Linked DNA regions of Canis lupus familiaris. The protein of the gene in region 2 purifies or fractionates together with the protein of the main gene of each other region. This does not show direct contact. Links are inferred from orthologs where the notes say so. Each region holds a gene or a part of one and is shown on either strand. Other genes may lie near its edges. The genes, in order: UBE3A and TXNL1.

What was found.
Region 1: the proteins of TXNL1 (region 2) and UBE3A purify together in Homo sapiens (affinity purification with mass spectrometry; 3 studies listed by BioGRID and IntAct, with this or other methods). This does not show direct contact. The link is inferred for Canis lupus familiaris from reciprocal best matches to the Homo sapiens genes TXNL1 and UBE3A.

Annotation. Positions count from the first base shown.
Region 1 is NC_049224.1:35,646,603-35,650,890, reverse strand, and holds the start of UBE3A (ubiquitin-protein ligase E3A), read right to left. Parts: upstream 2,926-4,288; 5' UTR 2,407-2,925; intron 1-2,406. UniProt on the Homo sapiens protein: E3 ubiquitin-protein ligase which accepts ubiquitin from an E2 ubiquitin-conjugating enzyme in the form of a thioester and transfers it to its substrates.
Region 2 is NC_049222.1:19,294,074-19,297,893, reverse strand, and holds part of TXNL1 (thioredoxin-like protein 1), read right to left. Parts: intron 495-3,820; coding exon 372-494; intron 1-371. UniProt on the Homo sapiens protein: Active thioredoxin with a redox potential of about -250 mV.

The DNA.
Region 1 (4,288 bases), on a different chromosome or scaffold from region 2:
CAAAAAAACGGTGTTTCAGGAAGATTTCAAATGATAATACTTATTGAGGGCTGAAGTGTCAGACATTTTACGAACTCTAATCCTTGAAACTGAGTTAGTTTCACCACCCCATTTTACAGATGACAAAACTGCAGCTCACCAAGACTAAGTAACTTTCTAAGATCAAACAAGTAAGGTTGAGCCCAGAAGTAAAAATGGAATCTAATTCCAAAGCTATCTTCCCTGTATACATTATAATGTCTGAATTTATCTTTTCATTTGCAGTGGGGGCAGAGCAGGGAATGTCAAAATCAGCCAAAACTCTGTTATCCCGAATTATCCTAAAAAGAGAAAACTTGTCTTCACTCATAAAAAAAATCAAAAAACTAATTTCTTAACAGATACCTATGTACTTAATGTAATGTCCCTGTTTTGACCAATACTAGTTTAGATATAAACAAAAATGTGCAACATGACAAGTACATAACCAATAATCATTTAAGAAAATAAACATCTGTAAATATTTCAAGTGTTTGGGTTGAAAAATTTAGATATGATGCATAGTTTTGGATTATTCCACTGACTGCTTATTTGAAATGGCAAATCATTTCAGATGTGTGGGGTGATTTTTTTTTTTTCTTTTTTGGAGGGGAGAGAGGAGTACCACTTTAAAAATGATCTAAAGTTTAAGAAATACAACTGATTAAATGTTAAAATCCAATTTTAAATACCCAATAAACCTTATTACATGAGCTGGGCAAGTGGGATGAGAATGTGTCTTCCTCACACTTCTAATAAGCATACTTAAGAAGGTATTTTTTTAAGCCATGAAAAAAATGTACAATTTCAGAGAAGTAAAACAAAAACAGCTTACAAAACCCCTGAAAAGGAACCAAAACATTGTAATATTGTAATTTACTCTGTAAAGTCCTCAAGAACTAGGCAATGTCCAGACAACAGTGTACATAATACTTAGCATACTAGATAATATATATTGATACAAGACTTCCTTAGTTTCCAGTCCCATTCTTGTAAGGAGAAGGTCATTATTTCTTGAATTTATTTCTTGCTTTTGTTGTCATGATTATTAGTTTCTTTAAAAGGCTTCAGGTTCATTCTTTGGTCTTATCAGCATCATCGTGAATATTGTATTCATTTTATTACAAATGTGATAACCCGATTTATAAGCACCATCTACCTCTAAAATTATTTCTATATATATCATGACAAAATTATACTTTTATCTTTCTAAATTCTAAATTTTTACATGGCTTACACAATAATCTGAGTACTTATTAGTCAGAGATTATGAATAAACACTTCTTATCCTTCTTGTCTAATTCACTCAAGATATTTATTGGGTATCCACAGTGACTCTGACAGGTAACTTTTTAACAGTTATACTTCCAAACTCTAGGTCCTTTCCATTTCAGGCCCTTTTCTTCCCCCCAGAATATTCTGGAATAATTTCCTGCTTCTTTCAATATTGCAGGCAGTGGAATTCTCCAAAATTATGGGTCATATCCATATTCCCCTCATATTTACGGAGGGTAACTATGGACTGTAAATCCCATATTACTATTCTTTTACATTTCAACAGCACCCTAGCCACTTAATAAATAGAATCCCAGACAGATTTAGTAATGTTTCTATTTTAGTATGCCCACTGGTCGTTTTTAAAAATTCAGAGACTAAATTATCTTTGAAGGAGTCTAAGTCTACATTAAAATCATTTCTAACAATTTTATTGATTAAAGCATTTGCCACGTTCAATTCTCACTTTACCAACAAAACCTCCACGCCATGACGAAGAAAGAGTCCTTTTCATTTTCTCAACTGAAAAGGGAAAGTAAAAAATGCCAACTGTTTGCAGGTTTGCATTTAAGGGAATTTCTGGCAAACCCGGTAACTCACGTTTAACATGAAAACGCGGATAATCTGTGGACGCGACCCGGGGCTCGATTTCCCACTTCATCCGCCCTCCCCCCCAACCCCACCCCCGCCACCGTCCACCCCCAAATCCCAACCCACCGCAGCGCCAGGCTCAGCATTTTTCACCCACGGGGCCGAGCCCTCAAGAAAAACTCTCCCCTCGGGAGGAGAGGGCCGGCCCTACCAGCCCGGCTCCGGCCTGCTCCGCGAGCCCTTCCACCGAGGCCAACTCTCGACGCCCTGCACGCCCCGCCCCGGGCCCGCTCGCGTCCCCTCCGGCCACACCACCCTCCCTCCGGCCCTCGGCCAGGACTGACAGTTACGGAGGCAGCCGCCGCCGCCGCCGCCACCGCCACCAGAGGCCTAGTCCTGGCAGCAGCCGCCCCCCCCCCCCCACCGCCGCGCGGTCCGGGGGCCTCCCACCCTCCCTCCCAGGCCCCGGAAGGCGGCTCGGCGACACGGACGACGTCGGGAACGGCCCCCGGCCACACTGACCTGCGGTCGCCCCCGCGCCCGGGCCGTGGCCCTCGCAGCCGCGGCTGCCTCACTGGTCGCAGTAGCCTTCGCTCGCCGCCTCCGCCCGCCACCGCCTCGTTCCCTGTCGCTGCCGCCACCGCCGGGGCTCATGCGGGACCCGCGCTTCCTTCTCCGGAGACGGAGGCCGGGAAAGGGGGCGCCGGGGCCGCAAGAGAACCCGAGCTCGCCGCCAGCCGCCGCCTGTCCGCGCTGGGGAGCTGCGGGGCCCGCCGAGCCGGGGCTGGGCTGCGGACTGCTCCGAGCGCGACCCCGAGACGCGCCGAGGGAGGCGCCGCCGCCCGCTGCCCGAAGCGTTGGGTCCGCAAGATGAAGCCCAAGTCCGAGGCGGCGGCGGAAGGCGAGCGCGCAGGCCGGCGGATGGCTAAGTGGCAGCGGGGTGCGTGAGCGGGAGGAAGGCGGTGTGTCGAGGTTCCGGCGAAGGGGATTCAGGCTCTGTCGTCTACTGCCAGTCACCCCGAACCCAGCGCCACCATCTTGGAAAAAAACGCGGATCTCGCGGCCGCAGCGCAAGCCGGGAGGACTGGCTGGGCGGGCCGAGTATCCCAGCAGGCAGCGCGCGCCGCCCGGCCGGGCGAGAGCTCCGGGCCGGGACGCAGCGACGTGAGGCGGGGCTGGGGTGCGCGCGGGCGGGCGCAGCGCTGTGCCCCGCCCTCTCACGCCGGCTCCGCCCCCTGCCTTCTTGCCGTCGTCGCCCGCGCAGGGCCTGCTGGGAAGGGGAAGTGGCTCGGGGCTCCCTGGAGTCCTACCAGGGCTGGTCGCCATCTTGGGACGAGGCAGAGGAGTTCGTGTTTCCATGGAGCCACCTCTGTCTGTGGTGGCTCTATCCCCGCGGAAAGAAGGGGGTAACGCCGGGAGCCCCCTGGAGCCCCTGGGAGGGCTGGACGGCCCCCTGGTATACCCAAGTCCAGGGACGTGCTAGGACATAAACGCTCCCGATGTTAACCGGGATGGGTCCGCCGGGGGGCGGGGGCTGTGATGGCTTCCAGCCCCGCATAGCGGGGCCGACGCCTCCGGACACCGGGCCTTCGATCTCAGCCCCTTCCCGTCAGGCGGCAGCTGTAGGTCCTGCTGTGGTACCCCGAGAGCGTGAGCCACCTTCAGGGGACAAGGTCATCTGCTTGGGCCTCCCGCCGACACAATGTCATCACTGTAGTCGAAGGTGAAAGCCCATCCCTTGGCAGGTTGTTAGGAGATGGTGGCCTCGTGGTCCACACCAGCCGGGGGGATGCTGATTCCATCCCCGTGACAATTGAAGCCACTTAAAGCCATGCGTCTTCATACTATCAAGGTCACCTTTTTATTTAAAAGGGCTTATTTTATGGCTCTGCGACACTTAGCAAAGCTGTAGTGGGATCACTAACAAACAGTATTCCTAATGGCTTACGACTTCGCTAAGCCCCGAAATACTATATAGATCCCATTCATCTGATACTCAATTTTTTTTAAATCAACAGTCTTACATAGCACTGTATTTAACTGCCATTCTTAGAACATTATAAGTCAGATATATGGATACGGCTTCCCAATTATAACCTGTAAAAAAAAAAAAAAAAAAAAAAAAAAACGTAAAAAATAAGCTAGTGGAATTTAAATTATCCCAGAACAATTAATGATAAATGACAGTATTAAATCATGTCCGATTTTTAACTCGGTTCCTTACTCTTTTTTTCATTTTCTCCCATTAACAGATCCTCATTTGAAAACAATTTGCAGTTGTATTTAATGGGATAGTTAAAATCGTAATCTTTTAAGGAGTTTCTTTGCCTATAAGATAGGCAAATAAGATGAAAATCTTTAAAGATTTTTGTTGAATAATCAAAGCAAAATGTTACTGCAGTAC
Region 2 (3,820 bases):
GGACCAGATACACAGGGAGTGCTCCTCTAATTAGTCTCTATTTCTCAGGTACAAATTCATTTGGGTGGGGTAAAAAACAAAATATGGAAGACAGGTCAAGAATGAATATAAGGACTTAAGGTGGTGAACGCTCAATTCATTAGTGGGGCCATTCCAAAATTCTGAGATTCTGTGTAATGCACCTGGCAGTTTGCATAGAACAGAGAAAGGAGGTGGGTCTACACCATCAAAGAAACGGAAACTTACAAAAAGGAAAAGAAGTGGTCATCTGAGGAGAAACACAAAACAATGAGATGGAAACATAATAAAGAACCCAGAGCAGGCATAAATATTGATGATCCCTACAAGCTTTAATTTAAGTATTCAATTACCTGTTCATCACAATCAGATTCCAAGAAGGTCATATCTTTTCGTAAACAGTTGTCAAATCCATGCTCATCACTTTCATTAAGGCATTCACAGCCAGCTTTGTTAATAAAAGGCATTAAATCCATCTGAAAAAAGTAAACCAAGACTTTAGGCAAAGCACTTGGATTTGGTCTAACAATCTAACCAAAATGTAAATACACGATTCTCTCTAGAGTAGGCAATTTTAAAGAAAATTTCTCTTTTAAAATAGTTACTAAAATTTTTACAATAATCCCTTCATTTCAAATTCTGAAATGAAGGGATTATTCATTTCTATCACTATTAAAGCCAAATCTAGGTTTAGCCCACTTGATAAAGTATCAAAAACTAAGTTTTTAACATGAAGATTATAAAATGTTGGCTTGTACTTTTTTATTAACAGTGATTTGCTGTGCAAAATATGCAAATTAAAATATCCATAAGATCCAAAGAAAGCCGACCTCCCTCTTCTAGTGGTCATGTACTCCTTAAACCTATATCCATAAACAGTTTACATTTAAGATAAATAACAAATAAGGATTAGAACACTTGTTATTATGGAAAATTTCAAACATATATAAATAAATAACACAGTGAACCTCTCGTACTCACCTCCCAGTTACAATAATCAACTCATGGCCACTCATATTTCATCTTTACACCGCAAGCAGGCCCTATCCCCTCCTCCCATTTTCAAATAAATCTTAGACATGTCTTCATTTCATTCATGAACATTTCAGTGTATTCATGAACATTTCTAAGAGATAAGGACTCTAAAACAAATCCTCAATATTATTATAACTAAACCGAGTTAATACTTTAGTCATTAACAGATTTCCATGTTCACATTTCTTCAGTTGTCTCATAAATGTTTTACAGTTGGAAATAAGAGTTCAAAAAACGTACACTGTATTTGGTTAATGTCTCTCAAATCTCCTTTCATCTATGGTCATTTAGCATCTATAGATTTCTAATATTCTGGATTGTGCTGACTGCTTCCCCATGGCATCATTTAACATTTTCCTATCTCCCGCGTATGTGTTGGTGGGTAGTCCTACACCACACCGGAGTTCTGACAGTGGTCATCCCTTCTCCTGGCTTTAATGAGTGTGCCTCTGGTGCTCTCTCATGAAGATTTTATTGATTGCTTTTGGAATAAATGGGTAATGAATTCTGTCAAATGCTTTTTCTGCATATTAGGAGATCAGAATCTTTCTCTAGATCACTGAATTTTGTTTACTAATATTTTCAGAACTTCAAAACAACTGTTCCTAATTGTAACTCATCGGTAGCTTTTTTTGGTGCAAACGTCAAATTCTGGGATCAATGTCATATTTATTTAAAAAAATTTAAAAGTTTTCCCTCTTTATATATAGTCTTCGAAAGTTGGAATAACACTAGACTATCTGATCTTTAAAGATTTGGTAAAATTTCCCTATGAAGTTCCCTTGACCCTGATGGTAGAGGTCTCTAACTACTTTCTCTATTTCCTCTATGGTGATTGGTCTATTTAGGAGTTCTGCTTATAATGGAACTGATTTTGATAAACCCTTTTTTCTAGAAAAGTATCCATTTCATCTACTAAACAAGGACGAATTTTGAAGTTTACCAAGTACTACAGATTATCATTTACACATTCACCTATCACAACGAGTGCTCTATTTTTTTATACAGATACTAATGCATATGTATATCATTCTGAAAGAGTGTATACCATTCTAAGGAAAGCTTTTTAATGTCAAATAATTATGTCAGGTCATTATTATCAATATGGTAAGAATCCATTAGTATAGATCCTTAATTATTCATGGAGTGACCTAAATGCTTTTAAAGCCAAAATGTTATTTTGAATTTATTAAATGTTACGCTGTAGATGTTAACCCTATTGCTCAGGGTAACACACTGTAGCCAATTTAAAAGCAGCGGGGTGGAGGAGCAGTGGAGGGATAAAGTAGCACTGTAAAGCAAAGTGCCATTCTAGAATTACTCTAAACTTTAAGAACATTTGCCTTGAAAGGGTAGTTTAGACAAATCTTTTAAACACATTTTCCATTCTACCAAGATACCTCTTCAATATTATATCTAGGATTAAGACCCCAAGCATGAAGACAACATTGCAGTCATAGTATCTTAATGATGAAAAATAAACTAGGTGACTTAAAGTTGTTTTAACATTTACTTATCGTGGGACACACAAAACAAGTATCACCAACACATGCATTAAAGTGCTTTGTTATACAACACTCTCTGGGACAAACTGGCATTATATCTGACCTAACTGCAAATTGACATATTCTAGAAATATGCCATTGGAAATAAATAAATACACTACCTATGGAATCAGCTTGCCAATGAGAAAATAATGAGAAAACAATCAGACAAATCCAGATTGTGGGACATTCTAGAAGACAGATGGTCTCAACCTGCGCTGTACAATAAGATAGCCATTAGCCACATGTGGCAATTTAAAATTAAATTAATTAAAAATAGATAAAAGTTAAAATTTGGGGTCTCAGTTGCACTAGGCATGTAACAAATGCATAATAGAGACATGTACCTAGTGGCTACTCTATTAGAGTGGTATTGGTTTAAACTTTCAAAAAAAGGCAGTCATGAACAAAAGAAAAAAAAAAGGAGACAGAAGTTTCCAGAACACTAAAGAGAACAACTTAAGTGCAATGAATGATCCTTGACTTGATCCTAGATGGAGGAAAAAGAGGTATAAAAAATATTCTGGAGGAGCACCTCGGTGCCTCAGTCAGTTAAGCTCTTGCCTTCAGCTCAGGTCATGATCCAGGGGTCCTGGATCACTTATAGGGGCTCCCTGCTCAGCGGTGAGTCTGCTTCTCCCTCTCCCTCTGCCCCTCTCTCCACTTGTGTTCTCGCTCTCTCTCTCTCTCCCTCTCAAATAAATAAAATCTTAAAATAAAAAAAAGAATATTCCAGAGATAATTAAGAAAATGTAAACATAGGCTATAAGTATTCTGTACCACTGTTAAATTCCTTAGGAGTGACAATGCTATCATGGTCATGTAAATGAATGTTCTTGTTCTTAGAAGCTACAGGCTAATAAAATATTTAGAGATGAACCAACATATTTTGTCCACAGTTTCTTTTAAATGATTCTGCAGAAGGTAGAAGTCTATAAGTAAATATTAAGAAAGCAAAAATAGCAAAATATTCACAACTGATGAAACACAGGTGAATGGCATATGTGTTTGTTGTACTACTGCTCTGTCAAGTGTGTTTTAATAAATTTCATTGTTCTTTTTTGGAGGGGGAAAATCTAACATAAGACACACACAGGAAGTCAGAAAAACCTTTCCATGCTTCCAGTTTGGGTTAATGAAAGATCTGTCTTACTATACAAATTAGAGTCACTTAAGGTTTCATTTCATTTTGATGAACGATGAAAAAATTTGTAGTCTAAAAT